Linked DNA regions of Saccharomyces cerevisiae S288C. The protein of the gene in region 2 interacts with the protein of the main gene of each other region in a biochemical or structural test. Each region holds a gene or a part of one and is shown on either strand. Other genes may lie near its edges. The genes, in order: CBF1, CBF2 and CEP3.

Evidence for each region.
Region 1: the proteins of CBF2 (region 2) and CBF1 form a complex in vitro, tested with the Saccharomyces cerevisiae proteins (2 studies listed by BioGRID).
Region 3: the proteins of CBF2 (region 2) and CEP3 form a complex in vitro, tested with the Saccharomyces cerevisiae proteins (4 studies listed by BioGRID).

What each region holds. Positions count from the first base shown.
Region 1 is NC_001142.9:546,640-550,433, reverse strand, and holds CBF1 (Cbf1p), read right to left. Parts: upstream 1,676-3,794; coding exon 620-1,675; downstream 1-619. Other genes in the region: protein kinase PTK2, read right to left, coding at 2,191-3,794. UniProt on the Saccharomyces cerevisiae protein: Required for chromosome stability and methionine prototrophy. It is involved in chromosomal segregation. Binds to a highly conserved DNA sequence (5'-RTCACRTG-3'), called CDEI, found in centromeres and in several promoters.
Region 2 is NC_001139.9:765,788-769,387, forward strand, and holds the start of CBF2 (Cbf2p), read left to right. Parts: upstream 1-1,641; coding exon 1,642-3,600.
Region 3 is NC_001145.3:597,248-601,085, reverse strand, and holds CEP3 (Cep3p), read left to right. Parts: upstream 1-1,927; coding exon 1,928-3,754; downstream 3,755-3,838. Other genes in the region: aldehyde dehydrogenase (NAD(+)) ALD3, read left to right, coding at 214-1,734. UniProt on the Saccharomyces cerevisiae protein: Acts as a component of the centromere DNA-binding protein complex CBF3, which is essential for chromosome segregation and movement of centromeres along microtubules. CBF3 is required for the recruitment of other kinetochore complexes to CEN DNA.

The DNA.
Region 1 (3,794 bases), on a different chromosome or scaffold from region 2:
TTCTAATTCATAAAAATAAACGTTGGTTGTTTTCCAGAAAGTAAATAACAGTTGTTGTTAACTATATAAGATACAAATAGCGGAATGCCAGACTAAAGACAAGTGCACTCTTACTTGATCTTCGTCCAATGTTTCTTCTTAAATAATCAAGCAAAGCCCCAAAGTAGAAATAGGCCCGTGATTGTCGCGGACCTTCAAGGATGTGACGTTTTTGCCTGTTTTTTTCAGGTAATCCTCTCCACTACTATCTTTTTTCTTTTCTGCGACCCAAAAAAAAAAAAAGGAAGGGAAAACTAAGATTTTTTGATAAAAGGCGGGAAAACGGAGGTTGTGCGTATTTCTCTTGGCGATTTTTCCATTGAACGTCAAAAAATTCTTGGCAAAACTTTTTTACTAAGCCATTTAGGGATGAAAAACAATAACGTACAAAGACATATTTGAAAGTCCGTCCCGTCCTCTTTTACTTGCTGAGTTTGAGGCTGAGTGATTCTCTAATACCATCCGGGCGGTTTCAAATATGCCGATGGAATATTGATAAAAACTTAACAGAGGTGCTATGGGGCAGAGACGCAGATACATAGGGAGACTCGAAATACATTTAGCTATCTATTTTTAACTCTCAAGCCTCATGTGGATTATCGCTCCTAGTGCTTTTTCTTTCGTTCTCTTGTTTCTTGTGAGTGTGCATATCCTCGTATTCTATTCCCTCCTTCCTTAAAACGCGTTTCATGTACTCGATTTCTTTGTAAGCATTTCCCAGTTCTTCCTGCAGTTTCTCATTTGCACTGGCTAATTGCGATGCGTTTTGCTCGCTAAGCAATTTTTGTAACGTCCACTTTTCGATGTTTGCTTCATCGGTTTCTTTCAATTTTTGAATGTATTCAGCGGCACACGCCAATATTGCTGCCTTACTTGATTCTCTCACGGGCAGGAGGTCGCTTAAAACGTTGATTGCAGTGTTGATGTTTTCGCGGCGACGCCTTTCGACTTCTTTATGGGAGTCTTTTCTTTGCTTTTTCCACTCGTCTGTTGTGGCCAAAGTAGTAGGTTTTCTTCCACGACGACCCGGCTGCATGCTTATATCCTTTTTGAGATCAATGTCAGCGTCATCATTGTCTTCATCATCCTGTTGGTGTTCTGGCCCACGATCGTGTTCTGCCAATGGTATGAGCATGTCGTTTTTAGATTGCTGTGTAGATTCCATTGGTGAAGACGTCATTCCCTCCAGGGAGGTGTTTGGCTTGACTCCTTCATTTGATGGGGTTATGGCTCTTTCCCCATTAAGGGAATCCTTGTGCTCACCATTCGCGTTCGTTTGATTAGATGTGTGGGCATCAGAACTATCTTCCTGGCCCTGGATTAAGTCTGTATAATTGACGGTAGCGGCAACAGCAGCCTCAGCCACTGACGCATCTTCGTCATCACTTCCTTTCTCATCTTTGTTAGACGTCAGTCCGCTTTCATACTGACTTTGAGTCCCTTTTAGCGTAGCCCCTTCGCTCAACAGAGCAGAGTCAATATTTCCGTCATTGCTCTCTTGTGACAACAAGCCTTGATCTCTTTGCTTTTTCCTGGCCTCGCTGTAGTTCTGCTCCTCGTTATAGCCTCTTTTTCTTGCCGAATGGATTTCCTCATCCTCAGTAGAAAGCTTATTATTATTTGCCAGAGAGTTCATCGTTAATAAAAGTGTAGAAAACCGTATTATATTTTAAGCACTTGATGTTGGTACTTGTAGCAGAAATGAAAATGACCGCCAACTAAAATGATTAATTAACAAAGTGTTTATCTTTAAGGTATAATGGTTTACATTCTACATTAAATAAAAAAACGTGATAAGCACGTGGATAATTGTTGTTTGCCCAATACTTTTCTCGTCCGATTTTATTTTTTTTTTGACCTTGGTGGGTGAGACATGGTGGTCCCGAAGGATCCGAGAGGAATGAGAAAAACCGATCACGTACATCGATGTACGGGAAAAATAAATAATAAAATGTTTGTTTATTGTTTGAAGTAAAATATATAAGTACATATGTGGATTTATATGTGTGTGCTTTATTTCATTGTTTGATTTATCTTCCGTTCTTTATCTTTTCCCGGTGGGATATTTTATATAAAAAGCTTATAAGGAAGGGTATGAAAGAATATGACGATACTAAAGCATAAAAGAGGGAATTAAAGAAGTCCTAACGTCTATCTTGAGATAAAGGCGCTCACGGATGACATGTTTGTAACGCTGTTGGTAATGTCCAAGTGGTGGTGAATTACCTTCTTCTTTTTCGAGGATGACACGCTTGGACTTCCGAGGCTTCTCAGTGAATTGCTTGATGACGAAACATTCGGTGCGCTAAAGTTCTTTGTAGAAGCCGGTGTTTCCGATTTGAGTGATAGGTCGCTCATACGCTTATCTAATTGAGTGCCAGCCTTTGCAGGGAGCGGAGTGGGGCCATTATGTGTTGGTGTAGTAGGGGTGGAGTTTAGCATCGACTTTAATTCCTTCATTGTGGAATCATCTTCGCTTAAGTTGTCCTCTACTTTTGTGGAGGTTGGTGTTGGTTTTTCCAATATGCTGTCCACATTAGTCGTGGTAGCCTCTTCAATGACTTTGTCCTTGTCGCCGTTCTTGACCTCATCTTTCTTCAAATTTTCCTTTTTATCTTGCTGCTTAGGTTTGGTGCTTTCATTCCCCCCTTCATCCCCAACATCGTGTGTTTTGGTCTTTGCGCTATCTTTTACCTTGGATTTTTGTTTCAAGGAAGGAGATTCTGCAATTTCCAACATCGATCTTGGTTTAGAAGTGAGCGTTTCCTTTTTTAGGAATGGATTAGACGTGTGAATGACCTCTTGATCATGGGGTGCATCTAATGAATTTTCACTAAAATCATTGGTAGAAGTACTTTTCCTTAATTCAGGAACCCTTACTAAGTCATCATCATTTGGCTCGACACATGTTTCAATTTGTTGGAAAAACGGATCATTAAATAAATCATCCATTGTATATCTAGTTGCAGGGTTCGGGTCAGCCAATCTCCATGCGATACGCGTGGCATCAGTATTCTTGAAATTTCTTGCTAAAGAGTATTCGGAACCAGGACCCGGCTTGTGGCAGCCCTTGTCCCTGAAATGTGGGTTTTGATGATTGATGAAGTTGTCATATGACACTTCAAATTCCCTGAATCTCGCATCAGTGTTACAAGAATCGATGAAGGGGATGATATTGTTAATCATGGTAATCAGCATGATTCCGAGGGCATAGGAATCCATGGCCAACGGATTATAGGGTTTTTGGAACTTTTCGGGGTAGTGCTTCTTGGCATCGAAGTACATTACCTCTGGCGGAGTGTATGGTGGAGAGCCAATCATACCTTGGCATGTTTTCACTGGACTAGTGTAGTCATGAGGTATCACATGGTACCAATCAGAAATACCGAAATCCGTCAATTTGCATATACCTTCTTTAGAAATTAAAACATTTTCGGGCTTCAAATCACGGTGAGCAATACCATTGTCATGACAAAACTTAATACCTTGGGCCACTTGTTTGAAAAGACAATATTTTTCATTGAAGGGAACGTTCTTCCAGCCTGTTCTTTCCATCAGTTGGAAGAGGTCCTTAACACCTAGTTCCATAATAAACCCCCAACCACGAGTTGTATATGTGGTCGTGGGAACTTTTAGAAGATAAAAAGTATTCGTGATGTGAACGTTATGACTTAAATGCTTAGCTATGATGAATTCTTTGGAGCATCTCTTGTAAAACTTCTCGGGTGACTCGTGGTATATCATATTCAGTTTTT
Region 2 (3,600 bases):
ATTAAATATTAAACTTGATATAGTAGGAGAAGGAAGTTGTATATTGTTCTCTATAAACACAAACAATAAAATGATATATTTGTTTTCTTATTTCTTCTTGATGTCTTCAGGAAAAAAGAACATAAACAAATACAAAAAAATCCTAGTACGAAACCTCAAAAGGGTGTATGCGCAATGTATATATATAGCAAGAAAAAAAAATAAACAGTGGCATTACAGTGCATGCGGATGGCAGTGTTCTTCGGTGGCTTTTTCGAAAAACCTAGAATGCGTTTAAAAGACTCAGACACCTAAGCAGAATATGCGAATGACTCGTTCAGTAAAATGCGACGCGACAGTTTGTTTTCGTTCTGCGCTGCTGTGTTCTCTATTCTTTTGAGATGAATTTAACGGCTATGGAATCATCTCGAGAAATCGGTTCTAGTAAGGCACCAAGACATTATGTCCCTCGGGAGGAGAAGGGCGCACGCGTCAGGCTTCCACGACGTCCGCCGTGCATGCGCTCTCGCATTTTTAAGGTTTAGTGCGGCAGGCGACTGCGCTGCGGCCAGCCCGTGAGACCACCCGAGGGAATTTGAGTAAGCGCGCCCATTGCGGGGTTTTTGCGGTTTGCGCTGTTTTCCGCACGAGGTTTCTCCGGACACAGTTAAGCAGTATATTTCACTCGGAAGCGCCGGAAAATTTTTTTAAGCGCAAATATATTCAGGTAAGCAGCAAAAAAATACTTTTTCCGGTGGCCCGTGATGTGTTTGTAACAGCTTCTGCGGTACTTTGGGCGGCTAAATGGCAAATAGATCAGGGGAAGGGTTTTTGCATAGGTACAAAATAACCGGATTTTGGGTAAGATTCGATCTTCGGCACTTGTGGCGAAGTAAAAGTGTTGAAAAAGTTCGCGTAATAATAGTGTTAGCCGTTTCAGCTTCGTCCATAAAGTACATATCCACAACTCTCATGGTGCGAAGTACAAACATTGAACGGCAGCTGTCTTGCTCAGCTAGTGGTATGTAAGCAGCCGCATTCTATTTTTATTTTCGTGCCTTTAAGTGTTAAAACCTGAGGCAGATTTTTTATTTTTTTGCATTCCCCTTCCTTTTTGCCGTAATGGCGCATTCAGTGCTGATATATTTATACTTCAATGGTGCTTCTCCTTACTTTTCTTATAGAAATAAACATCAAAACATGAACCTCAAATTCATCCGAAAATGACTGCGGCCACTCACCTTGCTTCTTCCCCACAAATATTTGTGTTCTCTGCTTTCTTTGTGTGTACTTTGTCTTGCTCTATATAACTTTCTCTCTGCTGCTGAGTCTTCAAATAGGTAGATTGATGCCTGTGGACTTTTATACAAAGGAGTTTGAGTGATTACATTCAAGATAAACGTGAAAAGTTATTATTATATCTTATGCTAAACAACAGTGTAATTGCGTTTGTTAAGCACAATCTCAAAATAATGCGCTAACAGTGGTGCGCATACTGCCATTTGTTATGGGCTATAATCGGATAGTGTATTCTTCTTGTTTGGTTATGTATCTCAACATCCAGGTATCCGTTACCCCACTTTGATACCAGGAACCTTTCGCGTTTTCTCTCGCTTTTATTTTTTTACCGCATACAAACAAACAAGAAAAAGTAGAAAACATATGAGATCATCGATTTTGTTTCTACTAAAATTGATGAAAATTATGGATGTTCAGCAACAGCAAGAAGCTATGTCATCAGAAGATAGGTTTCAGGAACTGGTGGACTCCCTAAAGCCAAGAACTGCGCATCAGTACAAGACCTACTATACTAAGTACATACAATGGTGTCAGCTCAATCAAATTATACCGACACCGGAGGACAATTCTGTAAATAGCGTCCCCTATAAAGACCTGCCAATATCTGCTGAACTGATACATTGGTTTTTGTTAGATACATTAATAACCGATGATAAGCCTGGAGAGAAAAGAGAAGAGACTGAAGATCTTGATGAGGAGGAGGAGAATTCATTCAAGATCGCTACGTTGAAGAAAATTATAGGCAGTCTCAATTTTTTGTCAAAATTGTGCAAAGTTCATGAAAATCCAAATGCTAATATAGACACAAAATACCTGGAGTCAGTCACCAAGCTTCATACCCATTGGATAGATTCACAAAAGGCAATCACCACTAATGAAACAAATAACACAAATACTCAAGTGCTGTGTCCACCATTATTGAAAGTGTCTTTGAATTTATGGAACCCAGAAACTAACCATCTCTCTGAGAAATTTTTTAAAACCTGTTCTGAAAAATTAAGATTCCTGGTGGATTTTCAATTAAGAAGTTATTTGAACCTTTCATTTGAAGAAAGATCAAAGATACGATTTGGTTCCCTCAAGCTCGGTAAAAGGGACAGAGACGCTATAATTTATCATAAAGTAACTCATTCGGCGGAAAAAAAAGATACGCCGGGCCACCATCAACTCCTTGCATTATTACCCCAAGATTGTCCATTTATCTGCCCTCAAACTACATTAGCTGCATATTTGTATTTAAGGTTCTATGGTATACCATCTGTTTCGAAAGGGGATGGCTTTCCCAATTTGAACGCTGATGAAAATGGCTCACTTTTACAAGATATTCCCATACTAAGAGGCAAATCACTGACAACTTATCCCAGAGAGGAAACATTTAGTAATTATTATACAACCGTGTTTAGGTATTGCCACTTACCTTATAAAAGAAGAGAATATTTCAACAAATGTAACCTTGTTTACCCAACTTGGGATGAAGACACTTTTAGAACATTTTTCAATGAAGAAAACCATGGAAATTGGTTAGAACAACCTGAGGCCTTTGCGTTCCCTGACAAAATACCGTTCGACTTCAAGAAAATCATGAACTTCAAATCGCCCTACACTTCGTATTCTACAAACGCTAAAAAGGACCCTTTTCCGCCTCCAAAGGATTTATTAGTTCAAATATTTCCGGAGATTGATGAATATAAAAGACATGATTATGAAGGTTTGTCTCAGAATTCAAGGGATTTTCTAGATTTAATGGAAGTTTTACGAGAAAGATTTTTGAGCAATCTACCATGGATTTACAAATTCTTTCCTAATCATGATATATTCCAGGACCCCATTTTTGGAAATTCCGATTTTCAATCATACTTCAATGACAAAACTATACATTCAAAGGGTTCACCCATTTTATCATTCGATATACTACCAGGCTTTAATAAAATCTATAAGAATAAGACAAATTTTTACTCACTCTTAATAGAAAGGCCTTCGCAGTTGACATTTGCTTCGAGTCATAATCCAGATACACACCCCACTCAAAAACAAGAATCTGAGGGGCCATTACAAATGAGTCAACTTGATACTACACAATTAAATGAATTATTGAAGCAACAGAGTTTCGAATATGTGCAGTTCCAAACACTTTCTAATTTCCAAATTTTATTATCGGTATTCAATAAAATTTTTGAGAAATTGGAGATGAAAAAATCTTCAAGAGGCTATATTTTACATCAGCTTAATTTATTCAAAATTACCTTGGATGAAAGAATTAAGAAATCTAAGATTGACGATGCCGATAAATTTATACGTGATAATCAGCCCATTAAAAAAGAA
Region 3 (3,838 bases), on a different chromosome or scaffold from region 2:
CCCTAAGGGTTAAGGAATTAGTAAGTTTAGGGAGGAGACAGGGAGATTGTTCAAACGAATAGCGTAGATTTAACTGATCATACCTCAGAAACTAATTGTATAAAATGGCAAATCTGGATGGGAATAAATTTGACTCATGCCAGGTAATTATACCTTGGACTTGTATCATAGAGATATAGATTATACACATTTAGAAAATTAGCCAAAAGAAAAATGCCTACCTTGTATACTGATATCGAAATCCCACAATTGAAAATCTCTTTAAAGCAACCGCTAGGGTTGTTTATCAACAATGAGTTTTGTCCATCATCAGATGGAAAGACCATCGAAACTGTGAACCCAGCTACTGGCGAACCGATAACATCCTTCCAAGCAGCTAACGAAAAGGATGTAGACAAAGCTGTGAAAGCTGCCAGGGCTGCTTTTGATAACGTTTGGTCGAAGACATCTTCTGAGCAACGTGGTATTTATCTTTCAAACTTATTAAAACTTATTGAGGAGGAGCAAGACACACTTGCCGCATTAGAGACTTTAGACGCTGGTAAGCCTTTCCATTCCAATGCTAAACAAGACTTAGCCCAGATTATAGAACTTACAAGATACTATGCGGGGGCGGTCGACAAGTTCAATATGGGTGAAACCATTCCATTGACTTTTAACAAGTTTGCATATACTCTAAAAGTTCCTTTTGGCGTTGTTGCTCAAATCGTTCCATGGAATTATCCTCTAGCTATGGCTTGTAGAAAAATGCAAGGTGCCTTAGCGGCCGGTAACACGGTTATCATCAAACCTGCTGAAAATACCTCTCTATCTCTACTTTATTTTGCTACTTTAATTAAAAAAGCAGGTTTTCCACCTGGTGTTGTCAATGTCATTCCTGGTTATGGTTCCGTTGTGGGGAAAGCTTTAGGAACCCACATGGATATCGACAAAATATCTTTTACGGGAAGTACTAAGGTTGGCGGCTCAGTATTGGAAGCTTCCGGCCAATCGAACCTTAAGGATATCACACTAGAATGCGGTGGTAAGTCTCCTGCTCTTGTATTTGAAGATGCAGACCTTGATAAGGCTATAGAATGGGTAGCAAATGGTATTTTTTTTAATTCGGGACAGATCTGCACTGCAAACTCAAGAGTTTATGTTCAAAGTTCGATCTACGACAAGTTTGTTGAAAAGTTTAAAGAAACTGCAAAGAAGGAGTGGGATGTTGCAGGAAAATTTGATCCGTTTGATGAGAAATGCATCGTTGGTCCAGTTATATCAAGTACACAGTATGACCGCATCAAAAGTTACATAGAACGTGGTAAAAAGGAGGAAAAGTTGGACATGTTCCAGACCTCTGAATTTCCTATTGGTGGAGCTAAAGGCTACTTCATTCCCCCAACCATCTTCACTGATGTACCAGAAACATCTAAGTTGCTGCGTGATGAAATATTTGGCCCGGTTGTGGTTGTTAGCAAGTTCACAAATTATGATGACGCTCTGAAGCTGGCTAATGATACTTGCTACGGGCTCGCCTCTGCGGTCTTCACCAAAGATGTCAAGAAAGCGCACATGTTTGCTCGCGATATTAAAGCAGGAACTGTTTGGATCAATCAAACCAATCAAGAAGAAGCTAAAGTTCCTTTTGGCGGATTTAAGATGAGTGGTATTGGTAGAGAATCAGGCGACACCGGCGTTGATAACTATTTACAAATAAAATCAGTCCATGTGGATCTTTCATTGGATAAATAATTCGTTACATAGTTATATAAATGTTTACATGAGATTCAAAGCTTCATATTCTATGAAATCTTTATTTTTTACGGCTTTAAATGAAGTGCGCGCAGCCATGTAAGCTAAGCGTAAGAGAATGAAATATTATAACCAACCTTCAGAGAGCAGGTGATGACAAAAGTTACGAACACGAGTTTGCATCCTAATAATAATGTTTAACCGTACCACTCAACTGAAATCCAAGCATCCCTGTTCCGTGTGTACGAGGCGAAAAGTCAAATGTGATCGTATGATACCGTGTGGAAACTGCAGGAAGAGAGGACAGGACTCCGAATGTATGAAATCAACAAAACTAATAACGGCTTCATCTTCCAAGGAATATCTCCCTGACCTATTGTTATTCTGGCAAAATTATGAATATTGGATAACGAATATTGGGCTGTACAAAACAAAACAAAGAGATCTTACTAGAACACCAGCTAATTTGGATACTGATACTGAAGAATGTATGTTTTGGATGAATTATCTTCAAAAAGACCAATCATTCCAATTGATGAACTTTGCTATGGAAAACTTAGGTGCTTTGTATTTTGGTTCCATTGGAGATATCAGTGAATTATATTTGAGGGTGGAACAGTACTGGGATAGAAGGGCAGACAAGAATCACAGTGTAGACGGCAAATACTGGGACGCACTAATATGGTCTGTCTTTACCATGTGCATTTATTATATGCCAGTCGAGAAGTTAGCAGAAATATTTTCAGTATATCCTCTCCATGAATATTTGGGTAGCAACAAAAGGCTCAATTGGGAAGATGGTATGCAATTAGTCATGTGCCAAAATTTTGCACGCTGCTCATTATTCCAATTGAAACAATGTGATTTCATGGCGCATCCCGATATAAGGCTCGTTCAAGCATATCTGATTTTAGCCACTACAACTTTCCCCTACGATGAACCGTTGTTGGCAAATTCGCTCCTAACACAGTGCATCCATACCTTTAAAAATTTTCATGTGGATGACTTTAGACCTTTACTTAATGATGACCCCGTTGAAAGCATCGCTAAAGTAACCTTGGGAAGAATATTCTATCGCCTGTGTGGATGCGATTATCTTCAATCGGGGCCACGCAAACCAATTGCACTTCATACAGAAGTATCCTCCCTATTACAACATGCAGCATATTTGCAGGATTTGCCTAACGTTGATGTTTACAGGGAAGAAAACAGCACAGAGGTCTTGTATTGGAAAATCATCTCATTAGACAGAGATTTAGATCAATACTTGAACAAGAGTTCTAAACCTCCCTTAAAAACATTGGATGCTATAAGGAGGGAGCTCGATATTTTTCAATACAAAGTAGATTCGTTGGAAGAAGATTTTAGATCAAATAACAGCAGATTTCAAAAATTTATTGCACTTTTTCAAATATCTACTGTTTCCTGGAAATTGTTTAAGATGTATCTCATTTATTATGATACCGCAGATTCACTACTAAAGGTTATACATTATTCTAAGGTAATCATTAGTCTTATTGTTAATAACTTCCATGCAAAAAGTGAGTTTTTCAACAGACATCCGATGGTGATGCAAACCATTACGCGCGTGGTCTCTTTCATCTCCTTTTACCAAATTTTTGTGGAATCGGCTGCTGTCAAACAACTTTTAGTAGATCTAACTGAACTTACTGCAAATCTGCCCACAATATTCGGTTCAAAACTAGATAAACTAGTTTACTTGACCGAAAGGCTCAGTAAATTAAAACTTTTATGGGACAAGGTACAGCTTCTAGATTCAGGTGATTCGTTTTACCATCCTGTTTTCAAAATACTACAAAATGATATTAAGATAATTGAGTTGAAAAATGATGAAATGTTTTCTCTCATAAAAGGACTCGGGTCTTTGGTACCGTTGAATAAGCTTAGACAAGAATCGTTGCTTGAGGAAGAGGACGAAAACAATACGGAACCAAGTGACTTCAGAACTATTGTAGAAGAGTTTCAATCCGAATATAACATTTCTGACATACTTTCCTAACTGCAACCATATTTCATATCCTTTGAAATCTCGCGGATGAATCGTTAAAGGAAAGGGCATACACTTTCAAATGAAACACAATCA